Linked DNA regions of Rattus norvegicus. The protein of the gene in region 3 interacts with the protein of the main gene of each other region in a pairwise test. Links are inferred from orthologs where the notes say so. Each region holds a gene or a part of one and is shown on either strand. Other genes may lie near its edges.

The links. The genes of interacting proteins can lie anywhere in the genome.
Region 1: the proteins of Ccndbp1 (region 3) and C9h6orf226 interact in binary tests that used the Homo sapiens proteins (3 or more experiments, as listed by UniProt). The two-hybrid records come from large-scale screens. The link is inferred for Rattus norvegicus from reciprocal best matches to the Homo sapiens genes CCNDBP1 and PEX39.
Region 2: the proteins of Ccndbp1 (region 3) and Syf2 interact in binary tests that used the Homo sapiens proteins (3 or more experiments, as listed by UniProt). The link is inferred for Rattus norvegicus from reciprocal best matches to the Homo sapiens genes CCNDBP1 and SYF2.

What each region holds. Positions count from the first base shown.
Region 1 is NC_086027.1:21,703,494-21,710,260, forward strand, and holds C9h6orf226 (uncharacterized protein C6orf226 homolog), read right to left. Parts: upstream 3,250-6,767; 5' UTR 2,868-3,249; coding exon 2,541-2,867; 3' UTR 2,115-2,540; downstream 1-2,114. UniProt on the Homo sapiens protein: May be a peroxin involved in the PTS2-mediated protein import pathway.
Region 2 is NC_086023.1:152,436,225-152,443,891, reverse strand, and holds the start of Syf2 (pre-mRNA-splicing factor SYF2), read right to left. Parts: upstream 3,722-7,667; 5' UTR 3,703-3,721; coding exon 3,679-3,702; intron 3,517-3,678; coding exon 3,412-3,516; intron 718-3,411; coding exon 592-717; intron 32-591; coding exon 1-31. UniProt on the Homo sapiens protein: Involved in pre-mRNA splicing as component of the spliceosome.
Region 3 is NC_086021.1:128,413,264-128,420,912, forward strand, and holds the start of Ccndbp1 (cyclin-D1-binding protein 1), read left to right. Parts: upstream 1-2,973; coding exon 2,974-3,073; intron 3,074-3,182; coding exon 3,183-3,242; intron 3,243-3,512; coding exon 3,513-3,592; intron 3,593-4,301; coding exon 4,302-4,383; intron 4,384-5,954; coding exon 5,955-6,051; intron 6,052-6,204; coding exon 6,205-6,278; intron 6,279-7,649. Other genes in the region: Tmem62 (transmembrane protein 62 precursor), read left to right, coding at 1,304-1,630. UniProt on the Homo sapiens protein: May negatively regulate cell cycle progression. May act at least in part via inhibition of the cyclin-D1/CDK4 complex, thereby preventing phosphorylation of RB1 and blocking E2F-dependent transcription.

The DNA.
Region 1 (6,767 bases), on a different chromosome or scaffold from region 3:
GGGCCTTGGGATATCAGTGGTAACTGTTGTAGGGCATTGGGAAATGAGGTGACCAAAAATGCATTGCAGTCTTGGAGAAATGAGTCCTGGATCTTACTAAGTTGGGGAGCACTGCAGTGTTGGTGGTGCTTGTCTGCTGTGTAAGAGCCCCTGGATGAGCTGAGCCAAGTCTTCCATTTCTAGTTGCTCAGAGTTTAAAGCAAGGGTTTTTTCTATATAGTAAAAGATGATTTTTAAAATTTATTTTTGTGTGTGAGTATGTGCCATCAGTGTGGGTCCCAAAGTAGCCAGAAACTGTCCCCATGTCTTGGAGCTAGATATACTGACAAGTGAAGGTTCCTGTGGGGGCTGGGGCCAATTCTAGGCCTTCTGCAGAAGCAAGTCCTCTTAGCATGTGCCTTCGGGCCCCAAAGGTAAAGTGGTTTATTCTAAGCTTGGTGATGCCTGCCAGGCGGACCACAAATTCAAAGGTAGCTTGGGTTAAATAGACTGTCAAAAAAACAAGTGGTGTTGCCCCCTAACAATGAGTTGAAACCCCCAAAACAAGACGTTCTGCTGTCCATATTGCTGGTTATCAGCCAGATGTACTAGCTACTTAACTACATGGATAGGCATTCCCGCAGCTAGCATACTGCCTGCCATTTGGGTTTTATAGACTATGGAGAAACAGCCACTGAGCCTGTCTGAAAGACTACAGGGAAGCTTGGTGTGGTGTCAATGTGGAGGCAGACACAGATCCATGTAATAAAGGCCTATCAGACACTGCCCTCAAAATCAGACTTTAGGGGGCCCAAGGTCAGCTCTTGGTTAAAAGCTGTTCACCCAGCCCCAAAGCATCTGACAGGGTTTCACAAGTCTTCTGGGGTAGGGGAGTGGAAGGGCGACTCAGGTTAAGAGCACTGATGCTCCTTCAGAAATCCTGGGTTTAATTCCAAACAATTCTTTTCAGCCTTGGAGATGGCTCAGTGGGTAAGGCATCTGGCCAAACCAGAGCTTAACTGGGATGTCTGGTGCATGATGGGAGGTGAAAGCCTACAAGGGGCACCAATTCTCAGATTGCCTCTGCTCGCACTACCTGACTTAGCTGTTCCAACAATCAGGATTTAAAAGATTTATGTGTAGAAGTACACTGTAGCTGTCCTCAGACACCAGAAGAGGGCATCAGATCCCTCTTACAGCTGGTTGTGAGTTATGTGTTTTGCTGGGAATTTAACTGCAAAAGCAGTCAGTGCTCTTTTTTTTTTTTTTTTTTTTTAAGATTTATTTTATGTAAGTGCACTGTCTCTGTCTTCAGACACACCAGAAGAGGGCATCAGATCTCATTACAGATGGTTGTGAGCCACCATGTGGTTGCTGGGAATCAAACTCAGGACTTCTGGAAGAGCTCTTAACCTCTGAGCCATCTCTCCAGCCCCAGTGCTCTCTTTTTTTTTTTTTTTTTGGTTCTTTTTTTTCGGAGCTGGGGACCGAACCCAGGGCCTTGCGCTTCCTAGGCAAGCGTTCTACCACTGAGCTAAATCCCCAACCCCACTACTAGTTTTTTAATTGGTTATTTTATTTACATTTCAAGTGTTAACCCCTTTCCTGCGCGCACGCGCGCGCGCACACACACACACACACACACACACACACAGCCTCCTAGCTTATGCTCCAACGCCCTGCTCCCATGAGGGTGCTCACCCATCCTCTACACTGCCATTCCTCTACACTGGGGCATCGAGTCTTTACAGGACCAAGGGCTTCTCCCATTGATGCCCAACAAGGCCATCCTCTGCTACATATGCAGCTGGAGCCATGGGTTGCTCCGTGTGTACTCTGGTTGGTCGTTTAGTCCTTGGGAGCGCTGGGGTGTCTAGTTCGTTGGTATTGTTTTTATGGGGTTGCAAATCCCTTCAGCTCCTTCCGTCCTTTAACGACTCCACTGGAGACCCTGTTCTGTCCAATGGTTGCCTGTGAGCATTTGCCTCTGTATTTGTCAGACTCTATCAGGAGATGCAGTCAGTGCTCTTAACCACTGAGCCCTCAACTCCGCCCCCCACCCCACCCCCGCCTCCGTGATACAGGAGTTCTATGCATCATTCCGGGAAGTAACTTTTTCATCAAACCCAAACGACTGCAAAATTAGAAATGCTTTTTATTTTTTTCTTTTCTTTTTTTCGGAGCTGGGGACCGAACCCAGGGCCTTGTGCTTGCTAGGCAAGCACTCTACCACTGAGCTAAATCCCCAACGCTTTTTAGATATGTTTCACTTTATCAGTATTATTAGAATAAGCTGACCCAGGAGGTCGTGCTCTGTTACTGTGACTAGGAAAACTTGTTTCAATTACACAGATGGACTAGAACACAGTATAAAGTTGAAGTTCACCGTCCAAAACCAAGATTACTGGGCAACACTGAATCCCCCATGAATACTGGGTCTGCTTGAGACAGATCGTGGCAGATGCAGAAAGATGAGTAAAGGTGGCATGTGTCCAGACTCTCAAGTTCGTGTAGGATCCTGTCACGCCCTCCGGATCTCAGTTGCGGAAACACCTCGAGCCTCAGGAATCCCTTGGGCCTCCATCGAGTTGGTAGGCTGGGCTGCCCCGGGACGGCTCCTCGATGGTCGGAGGCTGCGTCCTCGAGTCTAGGGCGGCAGTGCAGGATGAGGCGGCCGAGCCCGCGTCTTCCCAGGGCTTGGACTTCCGTGGGAGCAGAGACACCGTGGGTTCACCGTGGGTCGCAGTGATGTGGCGTTTCTCCAGGCCTGGGAGCTCCTGGCCCTTCTGGACCAGATGCAGGAGCTCCGCCAGGGTCACCGAGGCAGGAGCCGGATCCGCAGACGAAAGTGCTCCGCTCCGGCTGCAGACTCCGCCAGGCACGTCCATGTCCTGCCACCAGCTCACCCCCGGAACCGGGCCACAAGCACTTCCGGGTGGCGTGGAAGCAACCACCTTAATGGAATGGGGAGGGGAGGCCTCACACCATATCAAGGAACCTAGCCCAGGGTAGACCCCCAGAACCCGAGCTATTTGTGCAGAAGCTGAAGCCTCCGTTAACCTCCAGGTCTCATTCTGCAACGTGAAATATATTTGGGGTGTGGGGGCAATGAACGAGCCAAAAGGTTTTGCACCCACTGAGACAAGTGTGAGGAGGCGAGGCTGTAAAAAAAGTACCTCCCTTCCGCACTTGCATGCGCACGCAGAATGTGCGCAAGACCGGGAGGGTCTTCTTTGTTTTTGAGATTAAGTTTGGCACTAAAGTCCAGACTGATTGTTCGCTTTCCCCAAGCGTGCCGCTCTTCACATCTGTTAATTGTGGTACTAAGGATCCAGTCCCTGGGCGGAGGTGGGGGAGGGGTGCTGTTGTTTGGGACTTGGTTGTCCGGTTTGGTTTTGAGGCAAGGATTCATCGTCTCCCACAGTGTCTGCCGCGCTACACCTCCCAGCTCGGATGTTCTGATTTCTGAAGTTATCAAAACTAGCCTGAGAAGTGGCCCACGCCTGTAGTACCATATGCTTGGCCCATAGAGCCAGCCTGAGCTACATACTGAAAGATGTAGATATATAATAAATAAGCAGCCTGATCTGGCACACCCCAGGAATCAGAAAAGAACGCATACTCTGCATAATGTTAGAAGCATATAGCACGCTTACCCTTCACTGTAAACAACCCTATGAAACCCAAAAAGGTGGGGTGGGTGAGGTAGCTCAGCAGGTAGGGCTTTTGACCTTTATCCCCACTCCGTTGATGTTTTCAAGGTCTCCTGTAGCCAAAACTGACCTTGTACTCAAAATATAGTGTGTGTGTGTGTGTGTGTGTGTGTGTGTGTGTGTGTGTGTGTGTGTACGTGCACGTGTGCGACTGTGGATCCTTGTCTCTGTGGACTGTGGGCAGGCCTCCACGCCCACCTGGCATTTATCTGGGTTTGTGGGCATTTCGCACTCTGACCCTCACACCTGTGTGGCAGGCGTTTAACTGCTGACCAATCCCAACTCTAGCTTTTTTTTTTTTTTTTTCCTTTTTTTCTTTTTTTTTTTTTTGGAGCTGGGGACCGACCGAACCCAGGGCCTTGCGCTTGCTAGGCAAGCACTCTACCACTGAACTAAATCGCCAACCCCCCAACTCTAGCTTTGAACCTCCCCAGTGCTGGGATTAAAGGGGTGCACCGTCATGTTGTATGGTTCTGGGAATAGAACACAGGAGTTTATATATATTAGCCAAGCCCTCTACTCTATGTCTTGCAGCCCCTCATGGCACCCTCTTCCTCATGTAACGCTGAACCTCTTAGAGTTTTCATATTGCAGAACTGTGAGAAATAATTTCGTTTTTTTTTTTTTCTTTTGGGAACTGAGGATTGAACCCTAGGCCTTGTACTGTAGGCAAGCACTCTATCACTGGGGTATATCCTGAGCACAACTTATTTTCCTCATAAATTAACCTAGTGTGTGCTATTCTGTCATAGCACCATACAATAGCGTGATTTCAATCGCATCCAATTCCCACCTCAGCGCTGTGAAACTCTGAGGGCATATATATGCCCCCTCCCCCCATCTCTCTTCTTTTCTTTTTCTTTTTGAGACAGGGTTTCTCTATTCAACAGCCCCTAGCTGTCCTGGAACCAGTGTGGTTCTGTAAACCACACTGGCCTCGAACTCACAGAGCTCTATCTGCCTCTGCCTCCTGAGTGCTGGGATCAAAGGTGTGCACTGCCACAGCCCGGCTTGTCTTTTTTAATATTTTCCCCTTTAATTTTATTTTATTCTGTGCATCCATGTCTGTGTACTACATGCATGCAGTATTCCCAAAAGCCAGAAGAGGGCAACAGAACCCTTGTTTTTTAGCCATCATGTGGGTGCTGGGAATTGAACTCTTTGGTTTTCTGGAAGGACAGCCAATACTCTTAACCACTGAGCTATCTTTTTATTCCTGGAGGCCATTATTTCGAGTCATCAGTGATCTCTCCTGTAGCCCCTGAAGCTGTCTCTTCATCCTAGCTCATCCAACTTCCTGGACCAGACAAAGTTAGTTCAATGGGCTCCCTAGCTTTGGGGTCTGACCAGGAGGTGGGAGAGGGCAGCAGGAGAAAAGAAGAGAAGGATATGACAGATTTCCTTCTGTTTCCCCTCTTCAAGGTCACATTGGCACAGCCCATCCACGAACACAGCCCTCTGGTTTAAGGTTCTGACACTGCTCCCTTCTCACTCTCTCAGGTGCTGTGTTGCCCCTGGGAACTCCGTTGTCCTTGCCCACATCTCTGTCAATGGACTCTACTAAATTCTCCTCAGATTTTCCAATGCCCTTGTATCACTCTTTCCTGCCCTTCCTCACCAACAACACTAGAAGTGGTTCCTTCCAGGGTGTGTGTGTGTGTGTGTTATGACTGCACCTCCCACATTGTTGAAGGGTATGCATGTGACTGGTATTGTGTGTGAGGAAATCATGAATAGATGAGGTGCATGGTCTTGTTGCTTGTTCTGATGCCCACAGGAGAACACAAAGGGGTCATTAACATCTGACAGAAGGTGTGATGGTTTGTATATGCTTGGCCCAGAGTGGCACTGTTGGGAGGTGTGGCCTCGATGGAGTAGGTGTGGCTTTGTGGGTGTGGGCTTTAATACCCTTGTTCTGGCTGCCTAGGGGCCAGTATTCTGCTAGCAGCCTTAAATGAAGATGTTGAACTCTCGGCTCCTCCTGCACCATTCCTGACTGGACGCTGCCATGTTCCCGACTTGGTGATAATGGACTGAACCTCTGAACCTGTAAACCAGCCCTAAATGTTGTCCTTATAAGAGTTGCCTTGGTCATGGTGTCTGTTCACAGCAGTAAAACCCTAAGACAGAAGGTGAGGGTACACCCAGGGTACCTTGATGGTCGCTTGGATTGGCACCCTGGCAGAAACCTGGCCTTGAGACATCCCTGTAAGGTCACCAGGTTCCAGTACATCAGTCCTTCCTTTCTTCTGACAGGATTTCATTTTTGTAGGCCAGGGCCTTGAACTCACCGCCCATGTGCCTTAGTTGCCCAGCTCTAGCATGAACTCCCACCCCTGGCCTTCCAGATCTTGTCTGCAAAAATCAGAAAGGTGAGAGTTACCGAGTGGACCTTGAGATGGTCAGAGACATCATGTATCTCTGTCTACATAGCTACGATATCCATGTCGATATGTAGATAGAGATGTACTGTGACATAAATGAGGGACCCCCACCTCGACAGGGGGAAAACAAGAACCAACTCAGGGTATACACTGTCCTCCGACTTACACACACACACTGTCCTATGCGTGCGCACATGCTCGCGCGTGCACACACGCACACACACATACACACACACTTAAACACATACACACACATATACCCACACATATACACACACATAAACACACACACAGACACACACAGACACACACACTTAAACACATATACACAGACACACACACATACACACACATATACACACACACATAAACACACACATATACACACACACATAAACACACACATATACACACACATAAACACACACAGACACACACACTTAAACACATACACAGACACACACACATACCCACACATATACACACACACATAAACACACACACATACACACACACTTAAACACATATACACAGACACACACACATACACACACACTTAAACACATACACACACATATACACACACACATAAACACACACACACAGACACACACAGACACACACACTTAAACACATATACACAGACACACACACACACACATAAACACACACATATACACACACACATAAA
Region 2 (7,667 bases), on a different chromosome or scaffold from region 3:
TCTCGTAGTCTTCCCCTCGAGCTGCACACTCCTGAAAGGACAGGCAGCGCTACCCACCGCACCACCCACCCTGCCACACAGCATGCATTCCCACTTTTTGTTTTTTTTGAGCTGACCTCAAACTCAAAGCAATTCTCCCACCTCAGCTTCCCAAGTGCTGGAACTGTAGGTGTGACACACCACGCTTACCCATCTGACCTTTCTTAAATGAACAAAGACTCTATCAAAGTGTCAAGTAAGGCCATCAAGGTAGCTCAAGGGATACAGGTGTTTGCTGCCAAGCACCTGAGTGCTCTTATCAGGAGGCACATGGTGGAGGAGAACTGACCCTCTAGGTTGTCCTCTGACCTCCACTCTTGTGCCCACACACATACAAAATAAAAATGTAATAAAATCAACAGAACCGAGCAGGAGTCCTTTTTAAATGCTTTGCAGATGTTAATTCACAGAACCCCTAGTTCATTCAAGTAGCCATTATGGTGCTTGTCCTACAGACAAGCAGAGAAAGGTTCCCTTAGGTAAGTGGCCTCTCCACCTACTCAGCTACCAGCTCTCCTGTCTCAGTGAAGGGAGGGGCAGAGGCTTCCAAACCTTCTTCTTTTCTTCTTCCTGGAGTTCCCACTCCAGACGTGCTTTCTTGGCTTCCCAGTTAGCAGGCAGCTTAAGTCTTTTGTCTTCTTCCACAACTTCCTGGTGATTTAACTTACGAGCTTCATTCTAAAACCGTAAGAGAACAGGCCATCTGATAAAGCAGGAGAAGGACCCTGTCTTATTTGCAGTGACTAAGGGACCCCACTTACCCTGCAGGCAGTAAAGCCCAGCAAGTGAGCTAAACTAAGCAGGGAACCGACTGAGGTTTAAAAGAGAATGAAAAAAAAAAAAAAGAGAATGAGATGCTGTGCTGCTGAGCTGGTGTTCAGAGTCCCAGGGCTACGTCACCCCTGCCCATTCGGTTGGGTGGTCCCTTGCATAAAGGGTTCAGAATAAAGGTTGTCAAAGCGCCCTCACTGCACCCCACCATGGTACAGTAGCAATCACAGATTTTTATGAGTGTATTTTGTTCCTGTAGTGTTTTTGTGCCTCGTAGTTTCTGTGCAGGTCAGAGGTCAGCTCCCAGGCCACAGCTCTCTTCTTCCACCATGTGGGTTCTGGGGACCAAACTTAGGTCCTCAGTCTTCTCACAGCAAGTGCTATCTATCCACTCACTGAGCATCATCTCACCAGCCTGAAAGACGGTCTCCTTTTAACACAGTTTAAAAAAACCCAAAAACCAAAAACCTCAGTTTGGATTTGGAGTGCTTTCATGCCTGTTAATCTCTAAACTGTTACTCCAGGACAAGGGAAAGGAAGGGACATCCACCCAGGAAGTAAAGAGCTCTCAATCAGATAAACATTAATGCTGTAAAATTAGCATAATGTACTCTAGGCTAGCCTCAATCTCCATCTCCCTATGTAGTCAAGAAGTCTATAAACTTGCCAAGCCAGAAATGGCAACTTTAAGCCCGAGAGCACGTTAGGTTAAATAGAATGTAGGCAGGCCACGGACTGATGATGTCTGATCAGGAAGACGAGCTCCAAAGCTCCAGGCACACGGTCTGCAAACATTCCCTTTATAAGCAACATCTAAGCACATGACTTACTACGTTAACTTTTTCTAGAAAAATACTTGTGGGATTGGTTTTTTGCGTAGCATGTGAAGACTGGCTTTGAATATTTCTTTACTGTGTGTTGTGGATGTTCACATGTGCATGGACACACGTGTGCAGTGTACATGCATGTGAAGGCTAAGACATGTTGGGTGTATTGCTCAATTGATCTCTTCCTTAGATATTGAGGCAAAGATGGTCACTTGAACTCAGAACTCAGTGTTTTGCTAGTCTGGCTGATTGCTCAGCTTGCTCCAGAGATCCTGTCTCTGCCTCCACAGTGCTAGGATTAGAGGCAGGCACCACGCCCACCCAGCATGTATGTGGGTTCTTGGTGTCTTTTGCAGCAAGTGCTTGACCCACTGGTCTATCCCCAGCAGATAGAACAGCGGTTCTCAACCTGTGGGCTGTGACCCCCACAAGGGTCACACATCAGATATCCTACATACCAGATATTTACAACAGCAAAGCATGAAGAAGGTTGAGAACCACTGTTTACAATGTAAATTTTCAGAGATGTGCTGGTTCATTTGTTTGTTTTGTTTTATATTCTTGGAGGCTCAAAGGCCATTTTAAAAAAAAAAATTAGTTCTGGGGACTGGAGAGATGGCTCAGTGGTTAGGAGCACTAACTGCTCTTCCAAAGGTCCTGAGTTCAATTCCCACCAACCACATGGTGGCTCACAACCATCTATCTGTAATGAGATCTGATGCCCTCTTCTGGTGTGTCTGGAGACAGCTACAGTGTACTCATATATAATAAATAAATCTTTTTTTTAAAAAAAAGCTCTTTTGAGCTAGCAAAATGGTTCAATAGTTAAGGGTGACTGCCACATAGCCAGATGACTTCAATCCCCGGAACCCACATTACAGAAGGAGAAAACCAATTTACTCCTGTTGTCCTCTGCCATCTACATACACTCCATGACACCTGAGCACATATACATAGAAAAACAAATACATCTTATTTGTGTGTGCACGTGCATGCCTCAGCCTAGTGGAGAGCTCTGTGGATAACCCTGCGAAGTCAGTTGTCTCCTTCCACTTTGACCTGAGTTTCAGGGATCCCACTCAGGTGGTCAGGCTTGTACCAGGGCTCTAAACACTGAGTCATCTCGACAACCCAAGAAAAACTTTATTCAAGTTTTTCAAGACAAGTTCAAGACAAAAAGCAAGTGAAGAGGGCTGGGAATCTTGGCAGGAGCTAGAAGGGAGACACTGAGAAAATACAGCCATGCCTTATCAATTACATTACAAGAAAAACAAGCAGGTTCAGCAAAAGGGTCAAATGGGCAAGTTGTCACATGGGGAAGGAAGGGAGAGGAAGCTGTCTTCACATAAAGAATGTCAATGTCCAGAGTGTCTGGGCAGCCATGCTTTGGATTTGAGTGGGTATCCAAACAAGGAACGGAAAATAAGTTATTGAGTCTGAACTCAGGAAAGAGGGAAAGTGTGTGCTCACTCTTTTTAAGGTGAGAAAGGTCTTACTAAGAATAAGAAGTTCCTTCCTGTTTCTAACTAAATATTTACCTAGATGAAAAGGAAGCATCATGGAACAAGAGGGAACACCTAACCTGACATACACCCAGTCTTGTGGGTGGGACCGGGTAGAGCAAGCGGGTGTGGCTTTTGACCTGTGTCAAAGAGATCTCAACCTGAGTCCTGACCATCTGGAGATCTGGTCCCGGGAACGCCCCGTTCTGAGATCTGGGGCGCCTTCCTCCTCCAGCCCCGCGCCCGGCCTGGCCCGTGTCCCCGCCACTCACCCGCTTCAGATGCAGCTCACGGAACTTGCGCAGTCTCTGCTCTCGCTTCTGCGCCGCCAGCTCCTCGGCCGCCAAGGGCCTGGCTTCCGCGCCGTCCGCGGGTACCTGCGGTCATACCCGGCTTCAGGCTCGACGTCCCCCGACAGCCACGCCTCGGGCCTGGGCCCGACACCCCGGCCTCCCCGGTAGCCGCACCGGGATTCGCCCCATGTCTCCCCGCCCCGGCGTCTCCCAGACTAACACCTACGCGAAGCCGGAGGTACTCACCACAACTTCAGTCACAGCCGCCATTACAGCCTCCTCCACTTCCGTCAACAACACTGAACACTTCCGGCGGCCTCTGGCCCGCTGCCATTAGTCAGGCCCTCCCGCGTGGCGTCAGTTTCTTCCCGCCTGTCACGCTCCTTTAAGTGAGTGGGGCTACCGCGAGGTGTGGCCATGCGCAGGCGCAAATAACCCGGGACGGGGGCGGGGCGACAAGGGTGAGGAAGTGCTCAGAACCTGTCACTTAGAATGGAATGGCTGATTGGCGACTGAGTATCCTGTCACCAGCTCTAAAAAAACCTTGTCTCTCTTGAGTTTCAATCGCATTAAGTCCCTTCCATAGAGTAGATAATTTTCTGATGTTACTAACTGCAGAAGAACAGGGCCAGCTCCATATTGTTCACTCTCATATTCCAGTACTACAGTAACTACTGACGTCACTAAGATAACTCAGGAATTGGACAGGGATATATGAAATGAAACGTGTTCTGTTCTAAGTCGACAACTAATTAGATGTAGAAATGAAAAAGCCATCCCCCGATTGTAAAAATGTCTGGGTACAAATCAGTTGTGGTGGCATGCTCTTAGCATCCCAGCTGGTAGAGGCAGGAGAATACCAACTATGAGGCTTGCCAAGGCTACACAGTGACTTCTAGACTAGCCAGTGCTATAAGAACGACCCTTTATTTCGTGGGATATCTAAATTAAAAGCTTAAACGCTGACAAGAAAAATGCAAATTACGGGCAACTCTTTTGAGTCCGCCTCCCCTATAGGGAGCTACTTTTCAAGCTCAGTAAAACTTGGCTTGCCCTTCAAAAACAAGTTTTAAAAAATTAGGGGGTTGGGGATTTAGCTCAGTGGTAGAGCGCTTGCCTAGCAAGCGCAAGGCCCTGGGTTCAGTCCCCAGCTCCGAAAAAAAAAAAAAAAGAAAGAAAGAAAGAAATAAAAGAAAAGAAAAAAAATTAAAGCCCCACGAAATATTTAAGTTAAACGCAAGCTACCATAGGAAAGTCTCAGCTCAGGATCCCCCAAGACCAAGTTCTTAGCATAAAGGAGATTTATTTGTCCTAAAAGGACAGAGGGCAGGGATGGGTGACAAAAGACAGGACAAGTAGGAGACAAGAAAGGGTACAAAGAGGAGAAAGGCAAGGGAGAAGGGTAAGAGATTATTTGTCCTGGTGAGGACAGGGGAGGGATTAAATGGTGATTTATAAAGGGGGAAGTCCCCTGTTAGGATGAAGTCTTTCATTTTAATTGGGCATGTTAATTAGGGTAGCCAAAGGAGGCTTTTGATTGCTGTACTAAGATTTTGATAACTGGACTGTGGTGGTCAGCCTCAGGAAGAGGAAGTGGCCATGTAGTAGACCTTGATGGCCAGTTTGAGAAATGTAATCTAATGTTTTTATGCAAGACAGTGAGAATGGGGAGGACAAGGCTTGCCACAGCCATGTTCACCATACTAGAGCTGGCCAGAGTTCCTTCAAATGGGGCATGGTGGCTCTCACCTTTAAATCCTGCGAGTTACAGCTCAGTCGGTTCTACCCAGTGAGTTCTAGGCCAAGTGACACATTGAGACTATGTCTCAAAAATAAAAGCAGTTGGGCAATGGTGGCACATGCCTTTAATCCTCGCACTCGGAAGGCAAAGGCAAGATGATCTCTGAGGTCAAGGCCAGCCTGGTCTACAAAGTGAGTTCTAGGACACAGCTACACAGAAAAACCCTGTCTCTGGAAAAAAGGGAATGAGTTACTTGGCTAGAACTGGTGCGTGTGAGTTGAGTCTAAGTAGCACAGAAAATCCCCACAAATGACTGGGAAGGCTATACGTGCCTCTAAGTGAGGAAGTCACAGCCTAATTTTTGTACGTATGGGTGTTTTGCCGGAATATGTATATGCCCCACCTGCATTGCAGCCTGGTGCCCTGAGAGGTCAGATGAGGGTGTTGGATCCCCTGAAACTAGTTATGGTGGTCCTGAGCCACCAAGTAGGCTCTGGGAATGGAACCATCTTGCTTTCGAAACAGCCCATCAGCCAGTGCCCCAAAACTTATTTTACTCATGTGTCTGTGTCTTGTGCATTTCAATGCAGCGGCCAGACCTTGAATCTCCTAGTACTAAAATCTCAGGCAGTTGGTAAACACGGTGTGTCAGGAGCCAGACTTGGAGCCTCTTACAAGAGCAGCCCATGCTTGGCCACTGAGCTATCTCCAACCCTATGACTATCTTATGTCTGTATTGTAATCTCTATAGTTGTATTTTATATGTAAACTAGCATATACTGAATGTACCTTTATTGACAAACCTGCCACCATCTTTAGTTGCCATGTCATTCACTCAATCAACGTTCTTTTGGTATCTTTGTTTCTGAAGTCTCACTATATAGTCCTGTCTGTCCTGAACTGAAGATCTTGGCCTTGAGCTCAAAGATCCTCCTCCCTCTGCTGGGATTAAATATCTGTGCCCTCATTAGCCTCAGCTAATCATTTTCTGATCCTGCCTGCCTGCCACCTCCTGAGTTCTGGGATAATAGACCTGTACCCCCACACATGCTCTATACCTTGTTGGATATTTACCAACTAGACTACATCTCCAATTCATTTGTTCCTTTAAAAAACAAAATCTCAGGGTTGGGGATTTAGCTCAGTGGTAGAGCACTTGCCTAGCAAGCACAAGGCCCTGGGTTCGGTCCTCAGCTCTGGAAAAAAAAAAAAAAAATCTCATCTGGTACTGTAAACAAAGGGTCTGAAGGTACCTGGAAGAGAATGGGGGACAAGGGACACGAAGAAGGATGCCAAGACAAGAGTCTGATCAAGGCGACAACTTTATTTTTTCGCAAGGCTGAATTTATACCATAACATGGGTAACAGAGAGAGGGGGGAAGTAAGAAACATTTACGAAGGCCAAGGACACAATATTCATGTGGTCAGGGAGTAGACTGATGTTGACAGGTTGTCAGAAAGGTCACAGGTTTGTCATATCTATTAGTCAGCAGGATGTTGGTTTTTCAGAAAGGTTACAGGTCATCACATTGGGTATCTTTATCATATGATTATTATTCTTGACCACCAGATTTGTATTAGTCTTCTGCACCTGGCTGGGGATTTTCCATGAACCTAGTCATACTTAATTCTAACGTCAACAATGGAGGGCTTCAAGGGCATCGCTCCCAACATGGTACTGTGGTCCACTCATTTAATACCAGAACCTGAGGGGTTAGAGGCAAGCCTGGACATCCAAGGCTGTACAGGAAACCTCTTGTCTCATTAACCTAGATGTGAAACTCACTGGGTAGCAACAGGTTCTATTCACTGCTACCTAAAAGTGGGTAAAGAAAACTACTGTGGCCAGGAATACACATCTATATCACTAGATATTTAAACTTCCATTTTTTCAAGGATGATGTCCAATTGCATGCCAGTGATTAAGAACATTCTTGCTACCCATACTTTTTGAAAGGGTGGTCTTCTGACCCAGACATGGTGGCTCATACCTTTACTAGCAGCACAAGGGCAGCAGAGGCAGGAGGATCTGAAAGCCAGGAATTCAAGACCAGCCTGGTCCACAGAGAGTGTATATCCTCACTCAAAACAGTAAAATCCGAAAGAACTTTTTTTTTTGCCTTAAACTCCTTGTTTGACCTGAAGTGCCTTCAGAAGTGCTAAGATACAGTTACTGGTGCTGGGTTCACAGAAACTCAGGGCAGAGCACGCTAGACAAGTATTCTACTGAGCTGTACCCCAGCCCACTTGGAAGACAGATGCTGCTAGTCATACTACAAATTGTAGTAACAATGTCATGATTAAATAGACACTGGCTGATTTGCTGGAAAAATCAAATAGAAAGCAGGGCTCTACCATCCTCATTTTCTGGCAAAGTTCAGCAAGTTTTTCTGCCCAGTAAGGAATATCGTTATTCACAGTACTCTGGACACAGCTCAGTGTAGAGGGGTAGGGTCCTCTTGCCTGAAGAACTCACCTTAGTATGTTGTAACTG
Region 3 (7,649 bases):
GAACACACAACTTATTTACACTCTTGTGGCGCTGTCTCCAATTTCCACCCGGTTTAGTGGTCACAAAGTATTGCCTTACAGAGCCTAAGATGTCTCCCAATCCTGGACTTTTGTTTCTTATTCTCAGAATGTTCTTCCCTCAGCTGACTCATTGCTGCCCTTCATGGTCAAAGAGTCTGTCTCCCAGCCACCCTTTCATGAGCCAATTACTCCCTTCATTGAACTTATCACAACCTGTAATTATGTTTCTTGTACTTGCATGTTTGTCTGTGATATATATGTATGCATATCTGTCTTTAAGGGATCCCTTTTTAATGTTTGTTTTATGTGCATCAGTGTTTTACTGTATGTATATCTCTGTGTCGTGTGCCTACAGTTCCCTGGGAGACCAGAAGAGGGCTTTAAAACCCCTGTTTTGAAGTTTACAGACAGTTATCAGGGTTCATGTGGGTGCTGGGACTCAAACTTGGGTCCTCTGTAAAAGGACTTTAATCTCTCCTCCCTAGCCTGCTGCCCACCCCACCCCCTTTTATTTTGTTACTTGTTCATCAATGTGCCTCTGACCTAGAGCCTAGCACAGGGCCTGCTGTGTAATGGGCGCTTTATGAATATTTGTTGAATGAACCACACAACTACATCTGGTTATACCTATATCCAATGTATATGTCAGTACTCAGATGTTATCTCAATACTGATACCTACATCCTCCTTTCACTCATCAACATAGAATCTATCTCTGGTGTGTGCCTATGCAGATTACTCAGTTCATTTCCAATGTAAACATGGTTGTGTATCTACTCTTGGTATCTGAAGTATACATCTGTGTTATAATAGGGACTTCAATAAGTGATGCCTACCTTTAGGATAGATGAAAGGACAGGCAAATACACAGTTAACTATAGGTCAACTGTTCTCTTACTAACAGGTATGATCAATGCATTAAAAATCAGACATATGCTGGGTATGGTGGTGCAAGCCTTTTGTCCCAGGACTCAGGAGCCAGAGACAGTGGATCTCTGAGTTCGACACCAGCCTGGTCTACAGAGCTAATCCTGAGATAGCCAGACAGAAACTTTGTCTTTAAAAAAAAAAAAAAGACATATAAGAGCTGGAACATAGCTCAAGAGTGCTTGCAAATCCCTGTATGCAAATCTCTGTGTGCAAATCCCTGTATGCAAATCCCTACATGCAAATCCCTGAGTTGTATCCCCATCCCCGACCTCCAAGAGAAAACAATCTAAAGCCATATTAGTAGAAGTTACTAGTGATGTGGTGGGTTGATGGCTCTGCCTTCTTTTTCTAGCTGGTGTTCTTTAACATCCCCTTGACGGCTTACACATGCTGGAGTCTGCTACAGCGCTGCTTTGGTCACAACTTCAGGTCTCATCTCCTCCAGGGAAGATACGTGCAGATTATTCCTGTTCACCTGCTTATGCTTCTACTGTACACGTGGCAGGTTTATTCTTGCTACTTCCTTCATGTGACGTATGGCTCCCTCGCCTTTCTACTCTCCCCATTGAGGACCTGGTTGACATTGCTGACACCTGTACTCGTTTATCGTGTGTGGACACTGAACTCCACTGAACTTGGAATATTCATGGTGCAGTTAAAAAGTCATCTGAGCTCCTGAAGTCCATGGCTTACCGCTAGCGGCCTGGAAGAAGTCCAGCCTCCACATTTGTGGCCCAGATCTCTGCCCCAGTGGCAGATGGGAAAGCCAGTATCAGTGGGTGAGCTTCAGGAAGCTGTCATTCCTTGGACGTCTGAATGTTGGAAGTGTTTACTACTGATTCCTGCTGTGTGGACTGCAGAAAAGTCTAACGAATGACTCTTCTTCAGAGGCAAAGAGCCCTAATCAAGGAGATTGCCAGGGTGGGGTCTCTGTGTCACTGAGTCCCTCAGCACTGCTGTATTTATTAAGGGTCATCCTGTGAAAAGCATCCAGCCCAAACTTGGAATTCAGGATGCCATTTTATGCCTAGGGAACCTGTGGAAAGTGGGCCTTTACCGCTCCTGAGACTTGACTTCCAAGCCTGTTTTCCCAAGAATTATGGGCTTCCTGCTTCCTTAGTCAAAGCTGTTTTCAACTAATAAATGAATGAATGATAACCACAAACATTGGGTTGGAGAGATCAGTGGTTAAGAGCATGTACTTTACCTCCAGAAGACCTGAGTTCAATTCCTAGCAACCATGTCAGATGCTCACAACTGCCTGTAACTCTAGTTCCAGGCCAGAGCCACTGTGGACACCTACATTTATATGTGCACAGACTTACACGTAATTTAAAAAAATAATAAAAGATAAGTATTAACAAAGAAATATCACAAACGGATCTGCAATGTTGATAAACCTATGGGAACCAGAAAGTGGGCCTGGTGTTTGGGGGTAGGAGAAACAGTCACCGAAGCTGGAGTCAGCAGTTAAAAGTGCTGGTTGCTCTTCCAAAGATCACAGGTTCGATTCCCTTAACCCACATGGTGTAACTCCCGGCCTTGTGATCTGATGCCCTCTCTGGCCTCTGCAGGCACTGCCACATACATCTTTGCAGGGAAAAGGCTCCGTTACTTAAAAGAATCTCTAATAGGTCAGAAGATGCCTAACTGGGTCTTCCTGTAAGGAGTGGCCTAGTGTCACGGAGGGAGGGGTAGTGGGGGTAGTCAGGGACAAGCACTTGAACAAGTCTCTAGATTTGCAAGGGCAGGTGAAGGAGGCGTGGCTGGGTCTTTAGGCCCGGCCAGCGGGGCGTGGGCAGGTTTCTGGATGGGCTGGATTCGGGTAGGCGGGTCTCTAAGCGGGCGGAGGCGTGGACTGATGGCCAGGCTGCCTGGGAAGGCGGACTCACTACATTGGGGAGGAAGGGGCGGGACGCGATGTGTGTTGCCGGAAACGAGATGAGTTCTTCAGCACCGGAAGTACTGGGGGCGGGGTCAAATGGCTTAAGTGTCTGGGTTAGTTCCCGAAGAGAGGCTGCGATGGCGAGCTCGACAACCCCAGTCTCGTTCCTTGCTCCTCCTCTAGAGCAGCTCCGGCACTTAGCAGAGGAGCTGCGGTCGCTTCTGCCTCGAGTACGGGGTGAGTTGTGGGAATCTGCAACCCCAGGCTCCGGGTAGGGAGGTCGGGCGTCAGGTCAGGGCTCCTCTCACATGTCTTTTGCTTCCCGGGTGGTCCGGCCTTCCTCAAGTCGGCGAAGCCCAGGAGACAGCCGAGGAATTTAATCGAGAGATGTTTTGGAGAAGACTCAGTGAGTGTCTTTGCCGTTGCGGACTCTTCCTCCATCTCCCTGCATCCTACCCTCTTTTCCTTCTGCTGTCCCCTGAGATGACAATTCCTCCCAGTCCTCATCCCTTCTGCTACCCATTCTCCGCACTTGAGGCTGAAATATAAAACCATTTCTGGAGTTGTTTTGGAGTGTTGGTAAGGGTGGAGAAGGGACCCGTTATCTAAAAAGTCCAAGTGGCAACTTTAACCTTTTAACACTAACTTTGGCACCCGCTGCCTCTGACACCCCCAGATGAAGCAGCAATGAAAGTGTCTGGGGAAGCCACTGTTCTGACCACACTCTTCTCTAAAATTCCATCGCCATCTCCACAGGTGAGCTTTACTTCCGGAGTTTTTTTTTTGTGCTGTCTCCTTAAGAATCCTCTAGTTTTCTTATCTTTTGCATTCAAGCCACACTTACTTCCCCCATTTATCAAGCGAGATTACAGTTCTCACCGCATGGGATTGTTGTAAAGGCCAAATTGCCAAGTGCATAGGGTAGAAAGACCTTCTAAATTTAGTCTGAAACTCAGCCGGGTTAGTTCCTAATAATTTTTAAAGCCCTTGTTGATTTACAGCTGTTTCACATACATATTCTCTATCTGACAGATGAGTAAGCCTGTTTAGAGGCTTGGTTCAATAAATAGTGGAGGAGAAGTTAAATGCCTTCACACTATCTAACAACACCTGCTATATACAAAACCCTTTAGTGAGAAGTTTGCTGCTGCTGCTGCTGCTGCTGCACACCTTTAATCCCAGCATTTGGGAGGCAGAGGCTGGCTGCTCTCTTGAGTTCGAGACCAGCTTAGTCTACAGAGCCAGTTCCAGGATAGCCAAGGCTGCCCTTCCTTTTGTAATGCTTTTTAGAATTGTCCGGTATCTACCTAATTTCTTTATATTGTGGGAAGAGTACATCATAAGGCCTGACTCATGACAGGTTTTCATAAAACATTTAATCATGCTTATGGATGTCTGATCTCTTCCTTAGTAAATGGGTTGGCAGCATTAATGTTGACCATTCATTCTGAATTTCACCTCGTAGGAAACCCAGAGGATCTGTGAGCAAGTCCACATTGCCACTGAGGAAGTAATTGCAGCATACTACACATTTCCTAAGGATCAGGGTAAGTCACTGTATACACAGTAGTGTTGGATGTACAGGCTAGACCTTTGCTAAGGGAGTAGACTGTGTCCTAATATGTAAGCATGAAACATGTAAACATTATGTGTTTATCTTCAATGTAATATTATATATTTATATGTAAACACATTATACATGTCTATTTTTCTTCATTTTTGAGCATGTGACTTTCCTGTGAAATAAAGTCAAAGATAATTTTATATGTGAGTGACCTGTGTCACTCCATATGGGAAGTGAGTGAGTCCATTATGTGAAGGTACAGATGCTATGTAACTGTGATTTCCCTATCATTACTGCCCTACCTAATTCTTTAAAAAGTGTGTGTGTGTGTGTGTGTGTGTGTGTGTGTGTGTGTGTGTGTGTAGGCACACACATGGGGAATGGGCTCTCTCCCTCCATTGTGGGTTCCTGGGATCCAACTCAGATCTTCAGGCTTGCACAGCGAGTCCTCACCTGCGGAGCCATCTTAACTGGACATTACATTCTTTATTTTATGTTATGGGTACGGGTGCTTTGTCTGCATGTGTGTCTGTGTACCACATGTATGTCTGGTTCCTGCTGAGGTCAGAAGAGGTTGTTGGTTCCCCTGGAACTGAAGTTATAGACAGTGTGATCTGCCGTATGGGTTATGGGTTATGGGTTATGGTTATTGGTTGTTCCTGGGTCCTCTGGAAGAGCACTGAGTGCTCTTAACTGCCAAGCCTTATCCTCAGCCCCTCAATTGGTCCTTTATAAAAATTGTTCATTATCTGTGTCTGTGTATGTATGTGCACACGTGGGTGCATGTGTTTACTCAGGTGCTTATGCATGTGTATACGAGTACATGTGGAAGCCAGTATCTCCACATGATCATGAGAGAGTCTTCCCTGGAGTTCACGGATTCCCTAGGGGAGCCTCCTACCTCTGCTTCCCCAGCACTGGCATTATGGGTACACTCCAGTGTGTCTGCCTTTCTCCAGTGTGTAGGTCTTGGGAATTGAACTCAAGACATCATGGTTATGTAACTGGCACTTTCAAAAATATCTTGTCTTCTCGGCTCCTAATCCCTTTTCAGTCCATTCTAACTGCTATATATGCTTGCTGGATCTCAGCTCCATACCCATGACCAGGCCATCCCAACCCTCCTCCTCCTCCTCCATTACACCAGGACCTATTTGCAAACCCCTTCACAAGTTAAAGTACACCAACCTGTAGATTTATACCTTCATTGAAGCTCTACAGAGAAAATGAATGAGAACGTACCATAGTTCATCAGGGCTACTTACGCATGTTTTAAACTCCCAGTGTTTTGCTCACACTTATCTAAGGGCAGTGTCCTTCATGAATGAATACAATTGGAAAGACTTGTTTCCAAAACTGTTGGAGAGCAGCTCTTGGGAGTGGCAAGAGGGGCAATAAAATGCCTGAGAATTTAAGTAAGGCTGGAGCCCCGCTCTGATGGGGGATGTAAGCGTGGGTATCAGTTACCTCATGGGTCTGGTACACTAAGACTGCAGAAAGCAGGTGGTGACATTTGACATGGCCAGACAGCTTACTGTTTGGGTTTGGCCATAGGAATCACCCTGAGAAAGCTGGTACGAAATGCTGTCCTGGACATCGTGGATGGCACGGCTCAGCTCCTGGATGCGCTCCTTGCTGCTCCATCTCAGAGGTAGTGGGTGTGGCCGTGTGGGCTAACGGTTAGTGGGGGTTCCTTGACTCAGGGAGGGGAAATTCACTCCAACAGCAAAGTCACTCATAGTGGATGTTATTGGGAGACAGAAACCTAGGTTATTGATATGACCTTGTTAATTCCTTTCTCCAGCCCTGAGAATGGTGACCTGATTTCCTGCAATAGTGTCTCAGTTGCATGCCAACAGGTGGCTGAGATCCCAAAAGGTGGGTAGAAGTAAACTATTACCTGCCTCTCTGGTCTAGCTTCCAGCATCGCTTTATGCATGTATTTTAATTTCTATGAAGACGCTAGTGAAATAATATATAGTTTATTTCCATTAATATTAATTGATTCAATACTTTTTGCCATTCTTCATACTGGGTTTTTGGTTTGGTTTTGGCAGTGCTGGGGATTGAGCCCAGGGCATGCCAGCCAAGCCCTGTACCTCTGAGTACAACTCTTCCCAGTTTCCGGGCCAACATCCCCCTAGCCCCTCCCCTTCCCCTTCTCTATGGGTGTTCCCCTCCCCATCCTCCCCCCATTACTGCCCTCTCCCCAACAATCACGTTCACTGGGGGTTCAGTCTTGGCAGGACCCAGGGCTTCCCCTTCCACTGGGAGCACAACTCTTAAATTCAGACTCTTCCTCTTGCTGTGGCTCTGTCTCTAGTTAGATAGTTTGCTCTCCTATTCCTGTCCCAGGAACAGCATTGGGGAACACTGAAAGGAACAGCATTGGGGAGCACGCTGAAAGGAACAGCATTGGGGAACACGCTGAAAGGAACAGCATTGGGGAACACGCTGAAAGGAACAGCATTGGGGAACACGCTGAAAGGAACAGCATTGGGGAACGCTGAAAGGAACAGCATTGGGGAGCACGCTGAAAGGAACAGCATTGGGGAACACGCTGAAAGGAACAGCATTGGGGAACACGCTGAAAGGAACAGCATTGGGGAACACGCTGAAAGGAACAGCATTGGGGAACACGCTGAAAGGAACAGCATTGGGGAACACTGAAAGGAACAGCATTGGGGAACACGCTGAAAGGAACAGCATTGGGGAGCACGCTGAAAGGAACAGCATTGGGGAACACTGAAAGGAACAGCATTGGGGAGCGCTGAAAGGAACAGCATTGGGGAGCACTGAAAGGAGCAGCATTGGGGAGCACACTGAAAGGAACAGCATTGGGGAACACTGAAAGGAACAGCATTGGGGAACACTGAAAGGAACAGCATTGGGGAGCACGCTGAAAGGAACAGCATTGGGGAGCGCTGAAAGGAACAGCATTGGGGAGCACGCTGAAAGGAACAGCATTGGGGAACACTGAAAGGAACAGCATTGGGGAGCACGCTGAAAGGAACAGCATTGGGGCGCACGCTGAAAGGAACAGCATTGGGGAGCACGCTGAAAGGAACAGCATTGGGGAGCACGCTGAAAGGAACAGCATTGGGGAGCACACTGAAAGGAACAGCATTGGGGAACACTCTGAAAGGAACAGCATTGGGGAACACGCTGAAAGGAACAGCATTGGGGAACACGCTGAAAGGAACAGCATTGGGGAGCACGCTGAAAGGAACAGCATTGGGGAACACGCTG